4 linked regions of the Cricetulus griseus genome follow. The protein of the gene in region 2 purifies or fractionates together with the protein of the main gene of each other region. This does not show direct contact. Links are inferred from orthologs where the notes say so. Each region holds a gene or a part of one and is shown on either strand. Other genes may lie near its edges. The genes, in order: Park7, Snca, Clu and sodium-dependent dopamine transporter.

The links.
Region 1: the proteins of Snca (region 2) and Park7 purify together in Homo sapiens (affinity purification with western blotting; 3 studies listed by BioGRID and IntAct, with this or other methods). This does not show direct contact. The link is inferred for Cricetulus griseus from reciprocal best matches to the Homo sapiens genes SNCA and PARK7.
Region 3: the proteins of Snca (region 2) and Clu purify together in Homo sapiens (affinity purification with western blotting; 3 studies listed by BioGRID and IntAct, with this or other methods). This does not show direct contact. The link is inferred for Cricetulus griseus from reciprocal best matches to the Homo sapiens genes SNCA and CLU.
Region 4: the proteins of Snca (region 2) and sodium-dependent dopamine transporter purify together in Homo sapiens (affinity purification with western blotting; 6 studies listed by BioGRID and IntAct, with this or other methods). This does not show direct contact. The link is inferred for Cricetulus griseus from reciprocal best matches to the Homo sapiens genes SNCA and SLC6A3.

The regions. Positions count from the first base shown.
Region 1 is NC_048595.1:5,487,968-5,491,530, reverse strand, and holds part of Park7 (Parkinson disease protein 7), read right to left. Parts: intron 3,302-3,563; coding exon 3,200-3,301; intron 1,387-3,199; coding exon 1,327-1,386; intron 490-1,326; coding exon 420-489; intron 1-419. UniProt on the Homo sapiens protein: Multifunctional protein with controversial molecular function which plays an important role in cell protection against oxidative stress and cell death acting as oxidative stress sensor and redox-sensitive chaperone and protease.
Region 2 is NC_048601.1:81,915,649-81,919,902, reverse strand, and holds the start of Snca (alpha-synuclein), read right to left. Parts: upstream 2,840-4,254; coding exon 2,719-2,839; intron 1-2,718. UniProt on the Homo sapiens protein: Neuronal protein that plays several roles in synaptic activity such as regulation of synaptic vesicle trafficking and subsequent neurotransmitter release.
Region 3 is NW_023276807.1:220,967,172-220,970,734, forward strand, and holds part of Clu (clusterin), read left to right. Parts: intron 1-510; coding exon 511-681; intron 682-1,278; coding exon 1,279-1,687; intron 1,688-2,743; coding exon 2,744-2,848; intron 2,849-3,563.
Region 4 is NC_048595.1:368,201,681-368,205,802, reverse strand, and holds the start of sodium-dependent dopamine transporter, read right to left. Parts: upstream 2,805-4,122; coding exon 2,519-2,804; intron 489-2,518; coding exon 357-488; intron 1-356. UniProt on the Homo sapiens protein: Mediates sodium- and chloride-dependent transport of dopamine. Also mediates sodium- and chloride-dependent transport of norepinephrine (also known as noradrenaline). Regulator of light-dependent retinal hyaloid vessel regression, downstream of OPN5 signaling.

The sequences.
Region 1 (3,563 bases), on a different chromosome or scaffold from region 2:
TCTGAAGCCATGGGTGTCAAGGGGCATTGAAGCAAACCCTCAGCAAGCAGGAGGCAGGAGAGCCCCAGCTAGAGCTGTGGTGTTCAGGCCACACAGATTCTTGCTGACTCTCCTGGCAGGCCAGACTGCTGGCACAGAGATCTGCTGCGACAGGCTGTTTGCTGGATTCCAGAGGTCTTATCCCCAGGTCAACCAGCTAGGGAAAACAGTGAGTTCCACAGACTTGAGACCCAGAGCATGGAGAGACGAAGAGTTCAACAGTCATGCTCAGTGAGGCAATGACACAACTTCATGGCACCCTAACCAAACACCCAGTGTGGGTGCCTTTTTGGTTCACGAAGGTAAGTTGTATGCATTCAAACTTCCAGGCAGGCTGGCCCCTCAGCCAGCTGCGTGGTCCACACCCTGTACTTACTCACCTGCACAGATGGCAGCTATGAGGCCCTTCCTGCTTTCCTGCTCCTTCAAGATCTCCTTCACCACAGCTGACTAGAGAGAGAACACAAACACCTAGTCACCACTGAACCACAGAGCACCTTACAAGGAGAGCAGGGCACTCACTCGAGGCTTAGTTTACTTCCACCTGCTTTCCAGAAAGAGCTCTAAATCAGTAAACACAAAAGTGACAGGTTCCCACATTCCCCCCAAGAGAAAGGCCCACCTCAATGAAGACGGGCAGGAAAAAACAGTGTCATCGGGGCACATGACCCTGGTCCTGTGCTCTGGAAGGGGCAGAAGTGAGGAGACATGGGGTTCAGTAGCTTCAGATGGCAGATGGGACAAGACCCCAGTAGGAACTGTCCACCGACTGCCCCTGCCTGTTCATAGCCCACTCCCTACTCCCGACGCCTTCCCGTCTGACTCGGCACATCGGGCCGCCTCTGATGCCACCCTGTATTCACACTGGCCCTCATCGGGCCACCTCTGATGCCTCCCTGTATTCACACTGGCCCTCATCGGGCCACCTCTGATGCCACCCTGTATTCACACTGGTCCTCTGGCCCCACAGCTGCCCCCGAGCCCGGGGGACAGAGCAGGCAGCACTTGCTAGGCTGCTGCCGAGCCGGGACCTTTGCAGCTCACTTTGGGCTGCATTCGCCGAGCCTGTTTGCAGCAGCTGCTCCACCAATTCAGCTTACTTCTGCAGTAAGTGTTCTCAGAACCATGCTTTGCAATGCTGGACACCACCAGCTAACTTCGGCTATCTCTCCTGCATCTCACGCACCACTCCTGGTGCACACCAGAACAAACACAGCACAACAGAGTAGAAGCTACAAGACTTTCTTCATACGTGCTTCAATGAGGTGTAACTGAGCAGTTTTTTACCTCAGATAAATTCTGTGCACCCAGATTGCCTCCTGGAAGAACCACCACGTCGTATGGTCCCTGTGAGTAGGGAAATAAAAGAGAACATTTTATTTCTACTGTGTTAAATGGTAGCCCAGTAACAGCTTCGTATCTGAAGACGCACCATCTGCCACAGACCGGCAGTGTGCACATGGAGGTGGGGTTATACATACGCATCTCTAGGTAGAGCACACTCTTAGCACAAGTGAGACCCTGGATCTGATTCTCCAACACTAAAAATAAATAACTAAGTGGCAGGCATAGTGGTGGCACCTGAAGGAGGAAGCAGGGGCCTCAAAACAACAACAACAAAAATCAAATAAACAAATAAAGGTATATCCCTACGGTGGAACATTGTAAGCAAAAAAAAAAAAGACAGAAGGAAAGAAAGATGCAGACTTGAGGGCTGGAGAGATGGCTCAGCAGTTAAACTTTTGCTGCTCCTGCAGAGAACTAGAGTTCAGTCGCCAGCACCCACATGGTGGCTCACAACTCCATATTAACTCCAGCTCCAGGGGAATCAGCACCCTCTTCTGGCCTCTGTTAAGTATCCAGAGACACAGCATTCACTCACACAAACACACACACAAACTCACACACAAATAATCTCGTTTGTTTATGTATGTATTTTACGTGTATGAGTGCTCTGTCTTCACACAAACCAGAAAAAGGAATCTGATCTCATTACAGATGGTTGTGAACCGCCATGTGGCTGCTGGGAATTGAACTCAGGACCTCTGGAAGAGCAGCCAGTGCTCTCTCTTAACCTCTGAGCCATCTCTCCAGCTCAGCAATACTGAAACTTCTTAGAGAGCAATGCAGGTCTCTCCATGTGAGACAGGTGGGGGACCTGCACTCATGACCTGCCTTTCTTTCCCTCCTTCGCTGCAGTGTCTCTGCTCTACAGGGCACAGCCCATCTCTTATCACTCTGAGCCATGACCTCTGACCTATGGTAGTGTCTAAGGGTCAGTGGGCAGGGATGCTTTGGAGGAAAGTGATCCTAGCCTTCCAAAGACAACCAACAGTACCCGTCATCGTACAATGCACAGAAAGCAGAACCGTGGAAGGAGAGCTCTCACCTCTACCCCAATCCAACTACACATCACCTACGCAATACCCCACAGGAAAGGAATCCTGCAACTCTACCTGTCACTCTCAGAGGAAAGGGGAGGGAAGAAAAAGGAGCCCGGCCCATTATCCAGCTACCAGGGAAGCCCAGACAGAGGGGTTAGGAGTCAGGCCTGCCTGGGCCACAGGAGTGCCACTTCCAAAACCCTGTCTCAAAACAAATCTTTAACAAAGGAGGAAGAGGCTAGGAGGATGAAAGTTACTGGCAGAGACCTTTCGTGGCCGTGTAAGACCCAAAGTTCAGCTACCAGTACTGAGAAAGTCACCTCCTTAAGAGGTAAGGAGGCCTCTGGGAGAAAAGTGCCAATGAAGAACAATGCTCCCACTCAGCCACCATCTGTGAGCTCTCCACCCACCCCACCCACTCACAAGTCACAGGAGCCAGCCATTCCCATCCAGGAGGATCATTGTCTTTAATTCTGTTTGTTTTTTTCTGAGACAGGGTTTCACTGTGTAGCCCTGGCTGTCCTGGATCTTGCTCTGTATGTAGACCAAGCTGTCCTTGAACTCACAGAGATCCACCTGTCTCTGCCTCCCAAGTGCCAGGATCAAAGGTGTGTACCACCAACACCGGGCAGAATCATTTTCTTAAGTCCATTCTAACGGCAGTCATAGATACAGCCAAAAGCCATTTCAAAACAAACAAACAAACAAACAAACAAACAAACAAACAAGAAACTGGTAAGCCCCAAGAAGGAAAAGTTCAGATATACAAAACAAACCTGCTTTTTTGCATCTTCAAGACTGGTGTCAGGACAAATCATTACATCACGGCTACACTGCACGGGGTCTTTCCCAGCCAGGCCTGCAATAGTGACTTTAATCTGGAGAAAGAGCAGATGTTCAAGAACATGGAAATATACAGACACAGGGCGACACTTAATACCCATTCGGTGGTTTTAAGTAACTTGTCAGAGATTACCACAAAACCAAGCAGAGGCAATGGCCAGATATATTAAATAGCAGGAATCTTATGGTTTGTCCAAGGACAGTACTAATTTGTAGCTGAGCTGCTACCGCAGTTCTGACTGGCTAGAACACCCTCTACGCTACAAATGTTGAGTTCGGAGATGAATTACAGAGTCA
Region 2 (4,254 bases):
GAGACCAGTGCTGCATGCACACAGACAACCACCGTGCCACTGAGACAAATTGTAGCCCAGATTATTTCTAATCCTTCAGGCTAATTATTGATGATAGTTTTATATATTTGGTGAAAAATAAGAGGAAATCATGTTGAGTGGAATAGCTTATTTAATAAAAATCAAGTTTCCTAAATATGAAAGTGCACTTGGTTACACATTTCCACAAAAGCTCTGCAAAGGAATTGTACTTTTATGAACTACATTATTTGTGGAAAAGGGAAGGAAATTCAAAGACATTAACTTCCTCAAGATCCTAAAGGTAGAAGTGATGTAGCTTGTATTAAATTTATGTTTGTTTGATAAGTTATAGCCCAATTCCCTTTCACTTTTTTCTAGCCTATAAGTTAACCCCAGCTTCTTGTTTTGATAAATAAAAACTGAAACAGCACCACACTGGTTATTGCCCATGGTTGCTTTCACACTTTAACAGTAGACCTGATTATCTGAGACAGATTGGCCGAAATAAGTTTGAAAATTAACAAAAGTTGACCAAAATCTTAACTTAATTCTTACCTTTAGACCTCACTTTTCATAGTAAATTCTATGCATGTGTTTGGCTTTTTTTTGTTTGTTTGATTGGTTGGTTTTGTTGAGACAGGGTTTCTCTGTATTGCTTTGGAGCCTGTCCTTGAACTCTGTAGACCAGGCTGGCCTCAAACTCACAAAGATCCACCTGTCTCTGCCTCCCCAGTGCTGGAATTAAAGGCATGTGCCACCACCACCCACGTTCAGCTTTTAATTAGACTCCAGAACATAACCAGCAATTGATTAATTATATATGTATTAAATATAACAACATTGATAATTTTAGTAACATTAGACTTATTGAAACATTATGCTTTTTACATAATTGCCTCGCAGTGAACAACAAAATTAATCTTTGAAAAATCTAATCACTTTATTTGCCTAAACTCACAATTAACAATAAAACATGAAAGTGTTCTACTTGATAAGATCTGTTTATTAACTAGAAAGAATAATAAATTAATATTCAGTAACTTCTACATTTGCTTAAAATTAATGCTCTAGCTGGAAGGTGGTGACACATGCCTTTAATCCCAGTACCAGGAGGCAGAGGCAGGTGGATTTCAGTGAGTTCAAGGCCAGACTAGTCTAAATAGTGAGTTTCAGGACAGCCAGAACCATAAGAGAAACCCTGTCTCAAAAAAAAAAAAAAAATTAAAAAAGAAAATTAGGTGACTAGTTGTCTAAAAAGAAGAAAGATAACATTCACTAAGTAACTAATTAAAAAATGTAGTCATGGGTCTATAGTTGCAGGATGTGGGAGACTTTGAGGCCCTGAAAAATCTACAAATAACTGATTTTATATTCTGGATTCTATCAAAAACATTGACCTCACTGTTCCCAAAAGAAGCACTTGACTCACACCTTTCTCTTTTAATATTCATTTCAAGACTTTCTGAAAGGTTGTTTTGAGGTGGAAAGGGAGTCAACATAAAAACAATCTATGAGGAATGAGCAAAGGTGATATGCTAGAAACTTTGAAAGTTCATGAAAGGTTTTTTCCCACTAATCAGTTAGAGCTGGAGCGCCAGCACAGCTTCCCACTTTTGGTAAGTCTCAGTCTCAGTGTGTGGCCTCTCTGTCACCTCTGCCACTTGTCTGTTCCATTTCCATCTTAAGGTTGACCCTTTGCCTTCTACTGAGATAGAGGCCCCCTAAGAAGGTAGGGAAGCTCAGAGAAGCACAGAGGGGGCAGGTGAGTCATGCATCCTTGCTCCCTTGTGCACCTGGGTCTCTGCTGGAGATGAATGTGCATGCATACATATATGTCTTTTCCCTCCATCAAAGTACTGGAAGTGCAACCAGTTTAACACAGGGAAAGCCAGTAAACAGTGTTGACCTCTGTCTCAAGGTTTACACTTAGGCACAAAAGGCACCGAGTATCAACCTCTTGCTCTTTCCTGTGTGCATCATCCAGGTGATTACACAAACACATCTGAGGTTCCTTGAGCTTCATCTCAAAAGGGAGATCCACTAAGAACAACTTGCCTTTTTTTTTTTTTCTATTGGGGGACCAAAGTAGGTGTATTTTCACAGATATTAAATACAATCATACTACAGTTTTATTTTTAAAATTGCAATTAACAAGTATTATCTATGGTGATGATGAAAGAAGCCAAAGTCCCGTGAGGGCCTGGGACTCCTCTTGTTTTGTTTTGTTTTGTTTTGTTTTGTTTTGTGATGGGATTTCATGTAGACTGGACTGACCCTGAACTCACTATGTAGCTAAAGATGATCTTCAACTCCTGACCCTTGGGCCTCCATGTCCCAAATGTTGGGATTCCACATGCCACCATCCTGCTGCTGTAAATGGGTCTGATTCATAAGCATATTCTTAGTTATTTTTCATGGGTTGCCAGTTTTAAAAATCCCAATGTGCTCACACACACACACACACACACACACACACACACACACACACACACACACAGAAACATGGAAAACCCTAAGTAAGCAATAAAATTAAGTATTCTAAGGAAAGAAAACATTGTTCCCATTTGTTTCTGAGAGCTAACAAGCAGATTCACAATTCTCTCACCTCCACATACCTGTCACTCTCCTGAGAAGCAGCTATGTGCATGAATCAGACACCACATGCCAGCACTGAGTGATTAGCCACTCCAACTCATCAGTCACGGCACCACTACCTACCTACATAGAGGACTCCCTCTTTTGTCTTTCCTGCTGCTTCTGCCACACCCTGCTTGGTTTTTTCAGCAGCAGCCACAACTCCTTCCTTGGCCTTGGAAAGTCCTTTCATGAACACATCCATGGCGAAAGATGTCTTTTCCTCCACTCTAGAGAATACACAATACACTTTGAATTAAAAATTTGAGTAAAAGAAAACAAGATTAAAGCAGCTAGAATGGGAAGAATTTTTTTAAAAATCAAGGAAGAAATCACTGAAAAATCAGTAGAGACCCCCCCTCCCCAATCTCTGTGTAAATGAACACTCGTTTTTTTTGTTTGTTTGTTTGTTTGTTTGTTTGCTTGCTTGCTTGCTTGTTTTGAGGACTGGGCATGGTGTTGCTTGTCAGCTTTTTCACTCAAATCTAGGAAGAGTCAAGCCACTTAAAGATGGGATGGATCCAGATGGATCACCTGGCCATTCTTACAGCAGCTGGAAAATGGAGTTACATGGCAAGATGGGTGGACTCTACCCCATCAAGTTCCCAGGGCCTAAAGGCGACATTCTAAGTAAAAAGCTTGTCTAGAAAACCAATGGAAGGGGGTACTGAAGTCGGGGGCAAGGGTAAAAGGACTCAGAAAGGGGTTAGTAAGTGTTTAGTCTTAGGAGAGGGGAAGGAAGGGAACTGCTTACTTCAAGATGAAGGGAACAGCACGCCAACTGTCATCAGCCCAGCTGTTCAAATCTAACAAGACCTTCCACCCACTGCTAGCTCTCCAGTCTGTTATCTGCCCGGAGCAGGCGCTGTCCACACACTTGAGCCGGCTCACTTCAGCTCTACCCAACCTGGGGGCCCTGTCCTCAACTGGAATCTGCTTGAAAACCCTGCACCCCCGTGCTCATTAACCCCTTATCACCTGTTGCCAAGTGCCTTAGGCACTTTTATTAATCACTGGCCAAATGTAGCCTCCTTACACTCCAGATAAGAGATAGAACGTGCCCGGGGTGGGGGATGAAAGTTGGATGCTCAGGTTTCTCCCAACGCCCAGCGCTCAGCTTCCAGGACCCAGCACCCAACACGAAACACCCTGGCGTTTCCGCTCGAAAAAGCAGATGCCACGAACAGCCTGGTTTCCCCTCGGGCTTTGGGAGAATGGAAGAGCACGTCTCTAGCGCGAGGAAAGCCAAGTAATGTACTTTCAATGCACTGGCCGTGTCCCCACCGCTGAGGTAGCCTCAGCTGGAGATCTCCCAGGCATCGGGACTCCTCTTAGCCAGGGTTCTCCGGGATCCCCAGAGCTGCTGCTATCTACAGGTACTTACCGGCGCCCTTGGCTTCGCAGAATTCAGATTCCTCCTCTCTGCCCCTGATCTTATTTCAGTGGCAGTGGAAAGGAAGGCTCTGGGCGGAGGGGCAGGGGCAGCACCTGCTGGTCTCCTGCCGTCTGCTGCTAGGCGCTCTGGCTCCCCGGCTCCTCCACGTCGCCCCCGCAGCTGATTTGTCAGCGCCTCTCCCCGCCCCTCGCCTGCCTCGTGCCTTCGTCCCTTTCCTGGGGAGG
Region 3 (3,563 bases), on a different chromosome or scaffold from region 2:
TTGGCCAAACAGTATTTTATTCAATAATCAATAAGATAAACATACAAAGAAGTACATTCCCCATCAGAACTGGTTCTAAAATTTTTATTTTGGCAATCCCTAGAGCCAATGATGGGCCAGGGGCATGGTAATGAGCTTGATGGTTGATGTGACTTCTGTTTTCATAGCTTTGATTTGCATGTCAGGGGCCACAGTTACAACAGAAAGGTGACACTGGGTCTTTGGGGAGATGAGAAGAGGAAGTGAGGTGTAAGGGAGAGGTGGAGCCTGAGGAAGAGACTGTCAGAGCAGCGAGTCAGAGAGGTCAGGGAAAGCTTAGGAAGCAGCTGGTACTTGAAAGGTAAGAGGCTGCTGAGAGCCCAGCAGGGACAGCAAGACATGTGGGCTAGAGCAAAGATGAGGGCTTCAGGGCTAGAGCAAAAATGAAGGCAGCAGTAGCACGTTGTCCATAGACCAGGGAGGCCTGCCAGGTCTCTGTGTGGCTCACCTGGCCTTGTTATCTTCCTGAAGGATGCTCTAGATGACACCAGGGATACTGAAATGAAGTTGAAGGCATTCCCGGAAGTGTGCAATGAGACCATGATGGCCCTCTGGGAAGAGTGCAAGCCCTGCCTGAAGCAGACCTGCATGAAGTTCTATGCACGTGTCTGCAGAAGCGGCTCTGGTCTGGTTGGCCGCCAGGTGAGAAGGAGACATGTACATGGCCTGGGCTCTGGATGGGGAATGTGGAGAATCCATGAAATAGGCCTCGTTCCATATGCTGGATACAGTTGACTAGCATGGCTTGACGACTTGCCTTTCTAGTGTCAGGGTTAATTGGTGATATCTGACATTGAGTGCAGACGTAAACAACCATCAAAGGTGTGCTTGCCAGGTACCATCTCTTAGAAGACCTTTAACTAGCTGGGTAAAATGGCCTCATAGTATGGCAGAATCCTGTGCTCGTCTAGGGAGAGGGAATTAAGAATATTTAGTATATTAGCATTGATTCTATCTCTGCCTGTGAGCTTCACAAGGCTGGAACTCAGTACGAGTCACTGTTTCCTGAAGGCTGACCACCTAAGTGGGAGTGGCTGTCCTCTACGGTCAAAGATGCCAGGGGACTCTCTTGAAGTGATGAGAATTGTGAGTCTCTGGTCTCACGATGAGAGGTAGATGGAGTGGTACTAGCCGACAGGGTACCTAGGAGAACAGTGGGGACTTGGGTCACCTGCTATGTGATCAGAGGAGGATGAGGCTGGAGTCAACATCTCCTTACTGTGCTTCTCTGGGTCCCAGCTGGAGGAGTTTCTGAACCAGAGTTCACCCTTCTACTTCTGGATGAATGGTGACCGCATTGACTCCCTGATGGAGAGTGACCGACAGCAGAGCCAAGTCCTAGATGCCATGCAGGACAGCTTTACCCGGGCATCTGGAATCATGGACATGCTTTTCCAGGACCGGTTCTTCACCCATGAGCCCCAGGACACCCACTACTTCTCACCCTTCGGCTTTCCACACAGGAGGCCTCATTTCTTATATCCCAAGTCCCGCTTGGTCCGTAGCCTCATCCCTCTCTCCCACTATGGGCCCCCGAGCTTCCACGACATGTTCCAGCCATTCTTAGAAATGATACACCAGGCACAACAGGCCATGGATGTCCAGTTCCACAGACCAGCCTTCCAGTTCCCGGACAAGGGTTTAAGAGGTCAGAAAATACTTGCTTTCTTATCTCCCAGATGTTAAAGCTCTTGCAGGGCTTGGTGTGTGCTGTTTTCATGTTCCTAGCAGCCCTATAGGCTGGTATTTTCTCCATTTATAGGGTAAAGGAACTAGGAGAGGGGGTAAAGGAATGCAGATGACAAAGTGGGGTCTAGTTCAATTTAGCACTGTAGAGATTGGAGTCTGACCAGGCTTCAGTGATGCACACCTTTAATTCCAACACTCAGGAGACAGAGGTAGGTGGATCTCTGTGAGTTCAAGGCCAGCCTGGTCTACAAATCGAGTTCCAGGACAGCCACAATGGTTACACAGAGAAATCCTATCTAGAGAGAGAAATCCTAATGAGAGAGAGAGAGAGAGAGAGAGAGAGACAGAGAGACAGAGAGAGAGACAGAGAGAGAGACAGAGAGAGAGACAGAGAGAGATTGGAGCCTGTGTTCTTTTGTTCTTTGTAGCCAACTAAGGGTGTGACTTGGCCTGTGCCTCCCACAGGATCACAACTTCTTTCTTAGAGACTCTTGAGGGTGTGCTTTGGAAGCCTGTCCTTCCAGGCATGAACTGTATTACAGCCTTTATCGCCCTTAAAGAAGATTCGTGGCCTGGACCTTAGTGTGCAATGTCTGAAGGGATGAAATGTAACATGGACAGAGGAAGCCAGTGTCTGAGGAGCAATATTCTCCTTCAGATATTTGTGTCCTAATACTATGTTCTACATGGTGTGGTGTGTACCATGGGGCTCGATGGCCAGTTAGGGAGTACCACCAGCCAAGGAGATCAGCGAACAGAGAGTGTGCTGTGATGCCAGAAGGCACACAACTGGGGGAATGTGGCAGGAGAGAGCTCCTCAGATAGAGACAGTGGGAGCGTAGGCTGTACCTGCTGAAGAGACTTGGAGATATTCTCTGGGAGCCACAGGGAAACAATCACCGGCATCTTTCCCTGACCACAGGGCTGAGCAGAGGTGTGGAGGAGTGTCAGGTGGGCTCCCTTCCAAAGTGCTGTGTGCCTCAATCTGCCTCTTTCTCCCATCATATGTGTCCAGAAGGTGAAGATGACCGTGCAGTGTGCAAGGAGATCCGCCACAACTCCACAGGGTGCCTGAAGATGAAGGGCCAGTGTGAGAAATGCCAGGAGATCTTGTCTGTGGGTGAGTGGATGACCATTCTACAATCTGGTACTGTGGTCATCTGACTTTGGGTCACCAGGGACTCACTGGCACTGCTATCCTGCAGAGACTAGCTCTCTGTCTGTGAGCTGTGGTCCCTGAGAGGGTCCTCACCTTGATGCACAGTCTACTGTCCTCATGTCTAGAGTTAGGTTCATTATTTGGGAGCTACAGTAGAACACAGTGCCTCAACCCTGCTGGGCAAGTGTTTCACCAGTGAGCCACAACCATTGTACTTAGAGTCAAGTTCAGATGCAGATTGTTCTAACACAGATGAGGTGTATCTGAAGCACATTCCACCTTGGTGGCCCATGGTAAACCCACAGTTCATGGTGGGTGTCATCATAGAATATGACTACAACCACCAGCAATCCACAGCTCGTTCCCCTGGTTACTTTGTCTGCAGTGCCAAGTATAGTAGGCCTTGCTCTTTTTTTTTTTTTTTTTTGGTCTTCTGAGTCAGGGTTTCTCTCTCTCTCTCTCTGTCTCTCTCTGTCTCTCTCTCTCTCTCTCTGTCTCTCTCTCTCTCTCTCTCTTCTTAGAGGACAGGCATTTTGTTTAATGAGCATTCACCACGTGCCAGGCACTGTTGTAAACACTTCACAGATGTTTGTTCACCCTTCAGAATGATCTTGTGAGCTGGGTACAGCTCTTTCCATCTTGAAGAATGTCTAGCTGACTTTACCTAAGATTAGGA
Region 4 (4,122 bases), on a different chromosome or scaffold from region 2:
TACATGAATAGACAGATGATAGATTAGAAGGGTGCTTGCTGAATGGTTCATAAATAGGTAAGTAGATGACTGATAGACAGATGACAGATAAGTAGGTTTTATTTTTAATTTTACCATTTTAATACCCTGACAAATTTACCACCACTTAGCTGCAGGGCAGCCTGGCTTAGGAGCAAGGGAATGCTCTAGAAGATTCCTGTTCATTACAGTCTTTAAGGCAGGACCCATTTTAGAAGAGCATATGCATATGTCCACACAGTTTAGGAAAGCAGAACCTGTATATAATGCCATCATCTTGTTCTGAAGCCCCAGAAAAATGGCCATGCCTCATGGGGGGACACATCCCTGCATGTTACCTTTCAGGACAGGGCATATCTTCCAGACTCCAGCAGCTCCTTCTCTGTTGAACTGTCCAAGGGCCAGCTCCATGTAGAAGAGGGGCATCCCAGCAATAACCATGAAGAGCAGGTAGGGCACCAGGAAGGCACCTGTGCACAGGACAACAGCTTCAGCTTGGGGCCACAGAAGGGGGCTGCTTTCATTATCCATATGTGGGCCCTGATGTCGTACCTTTGAGTATGATCTTGTCACCTAGCATCCTGTCTGCAGTGAGAGGCTCTCTGAATAGCTACCACCCAAGGGGATATCCTGAATGTGTGATAAACCCCACCTCCTTGCCTGTCCCAGCCGCAGTCAGTGTTGGACATGTTCTGCTCAATGCCTCTGATTGTCACCCCACCCTATGTCCCAAGCTCAGCCAGAAGCAAGGCAGTCAAAGTCTGGAGCATCACTTCTCAGCATCACTCCCAGCACTGTCTGCCTCTTCATGCCTGGTTTCACTCTTACCCCTTGAGAGTTGTGGTCCTGGGATCAGTGACCTAATCCTGACAGCCTGCTTCTGTGGAGACTAGAGCTGAGTTTCTGCAGTCGGGAGTTTCCTGGAGCCAGAGTGCAGAGCTTGGTTTGCTTAACCTGCACACTCCACTCCACAAAGGTTGCACCCCACCAGAGTCCTCTTGCTCCCCTCAACTTGAGTGAGTCTGAGCTTGGCCACAGCTTTCTCCTGAGGTCTTGATGAGGAAGATGGGAATCTCCTCACCTGTCTTTGGGTCACTTACTGGGGCTGCTGAGGCCTTGGGCCTCTCACCTTCTAAAGTATGTAATTAAGCAATTGTGCTCATGGATTTGCTTGAGTGAGCCCTTCTTTCCCAAAGCAATTCTTTTATCCTGCAGCCAGTCAGGGAGACCAAGCCATGGAAATAGAGGCCTTCTGGGCTCAACTTGAATTTCTGTGTTAACCCTGCTCCTTGTCTTCTTTTTAGCTCCACTGCACAGCTACGGCTCTATAGCTGAGACTAGAGAGTGGGGAAGCCAGGCTTGGTGGCATAGACCCATAATCCCAGCTACTCCAGAGGCTAAAGGCAGGAAGACCATATGTTCAAGGCCTGCCTGATCTACAGGATGAGTTCAAGAACTGCCTAGTTAACAGTGAAATCCTGATTCAAACTAAAAATATCAAGAGGGCTATGGATGTGACTCAGTGCTATAGAGTGCTTGCCAGCATGCACAAGGCTCTGGGTTCAATTCCCATAACTGCATTTAAAGAAAAACTGAAGGAAGGAAAGCAGGAAGGAAGAAGAAGGAAGGAAGAAAGGAAGGACACAGTCACACAGACACACACAGGATGGGGAAGGTGGAGAGAGGTAGAGAGGACATAGAGGAGATGGGTATATTTCAGTTCAGGGGCATCTTTTGCCTTTCTAAGTTTAACTTGAAATTGTACAAAGTTCAACAGCTCTATAAACACTGTTGAAGTTGTCTTAAAATATGTTCTTTTGGTCTTTTAGAATTTTCTTTACAAAGTAGAAATACTAGTGGAAATAGAAGTCAGGACCTGATGCTTCCACCTACTCCCTTCTCCTCTCTGCTCCCTGGGTTCCATGTTCCTTGGCAGTCAGATTTTCTGAGGTCTCCAGCTCGGGAAGACTGAAGGCACTGCTGCTGGTGAGCAGCCTCACTGTCCTACTCGGGACAGGATTGTCTCACTGACAGTATTTCCTGTTATGTGAATGGTCCTGTGTACACAGGAGCATGTGAGCATCTGTGAGGCCAGGCATCATCCTTGGGTGTCGTTCCTCAGGAGCTGCCCACCTTGATTTTTGAGACAGTGTCTGTCACTGGCCTGATGCTCTCTGGATAGGCTAGACTGAGTGAGACTTGTTGGCTATCAATCTCCAAGGTTCTACTTGTCTCCACCTCCCTAGTGTTAATTAGCATTACAAATGTGTGCCATAATGCCCTGTTTTATTTTTTTTTGGGGGGGGAGAGGTTCTGGAGATCAAAGTCAGGTCGTCATGCTTGCACAGGAAGTGCATTACTGAGTTATCTCCTCAGCCTTCACTGTGAGCATTTCTTGAGAGCACAGCTCCCACTGTACCTTCCATGGCCTTCACTGAACTCCCCAAACCAACTGCCATGGCTCCACCCTTAAAAGGCACAGGAGGCCTCCAACACTCACCTCCACCATTTTTGTAGCACAGGTAGGGAAACCGCCAGACATTGGCCAGGTCTACAGCAAAGCCGATGACTGAGAGCAGGAAATCAATTTTCTTGCTCCAGGTCTCCCGCTCCTGAGCCTCCACTGGTGTCTGTGGTGGGTTGATGAGGGTGGAGTTAGTCAGCTGCATTCCATTCTGCTCCTTGACCAGGATGAGCTCCACCTCTCTGGGGCCCATGGCATTGGGCTCTTTAGCCGGGGCTACCACAGAGGACATTGGTCCCACGGAGCATTTGCTCTTACTCATGGGTGGACTGGAGCCCAAGGAACTCTGCTTCTTTCTTCTTGGCCTTCAGTGAACATAAAGAAACACAGAGCAATGCACAGGTTCAGTAGCCATGTCTACAGGGTACCTGAGTTGAGCACAGAGACCCTAGGTAGTCCAAGCACCCTCTGAGACGCCATGGCCAGGATGAAGGATAGCTGGGGGATGTTCATAGAGAAGGGAGAAACTGGCTGTGGAGACCAGAAACAGACACACCCCTGCAGTTCCCTTTCCTGCCAAAGCCTGCGTTCCCATTAGTGTAGGCTTGTTTGGTTTCTAATTTGCTTCCTAATAACAATCCCAGGTGTTGCCTGTACTGCTTATCCACATTTCCAGGGGGCAGGCAATTTCCCACCTTGCCAACAGCATTCCACTTACTTCAGTCTCTGTAAGGGTGTGTGGCTTTCTTTACACTTAGTAATACAATAAAAAGCAAAATGAATATAACCAAAATCAGCCACAGTAACTGAAAGTCTAAAACAAACGGTCATCAGTTTCTCCAAAGAGCATATATACAAATCACCCTGCCCATGACCATGACCATGGTTTCACAGGCCTTTGAGCTGACAGGGAGTTAACCAGAATGTCACCAGGGGAGGGATCAGTCCACCACTGCACCAGCACCACTCCTAGAGAAAGCTTCTCCTGTGCAGAGCCAGGGCCATGGCGCATAAGTGAGGTAGCAGCCCTCATGCCCAGTGACAGCCTGTTTCCACTGAACTCAGACAAGCACGCTGATGGAAGCCCGACATCTGGGTGGCTGCTCTAATGGGGTGACTTCCCTCTGCATCCCTAAACAAAAACTCCTGACAGAAGTTATTTTATGCACCACTTCTCTGTGGCCTCTTTACCCTGGTGACAAACCCAAATGCAAATCCCTCACATGTGTCAAAAATGGGCTAACAGTTTTGCAGCTGCTAGGGAGCAGGTAGGATTGCCAGAATAGGTTGGATGTGAAATGGGCAAGGAGCATAGCAAAAGACCTGGTCCCAAGTTTTGCTCCCTGCTCTATTACAGGCACACAGGTGGCACCTGTCTGCCCCACCTTATTCCTTAACTCATGGCTCAGGTAATGGACACAGATAGCAAAATGGGTCCTGGGAAAACATGTTTCTTCACCAGCTGGATCAGGAAACAGGTGGCTCCTGAGTCAAGGTTCTCTGTCTTTCCCCACAGCCTGAGTTCAGCCCCCGGCTTACAGAAGAGACCAGAGAAGGTAGGGGGAGGGAGAAGGGAGATGGAGCTTTGGGCATGTTGTGAAAATAACCCCAAGGGGTGTGCGTCCTCCAGATTCCAGCCC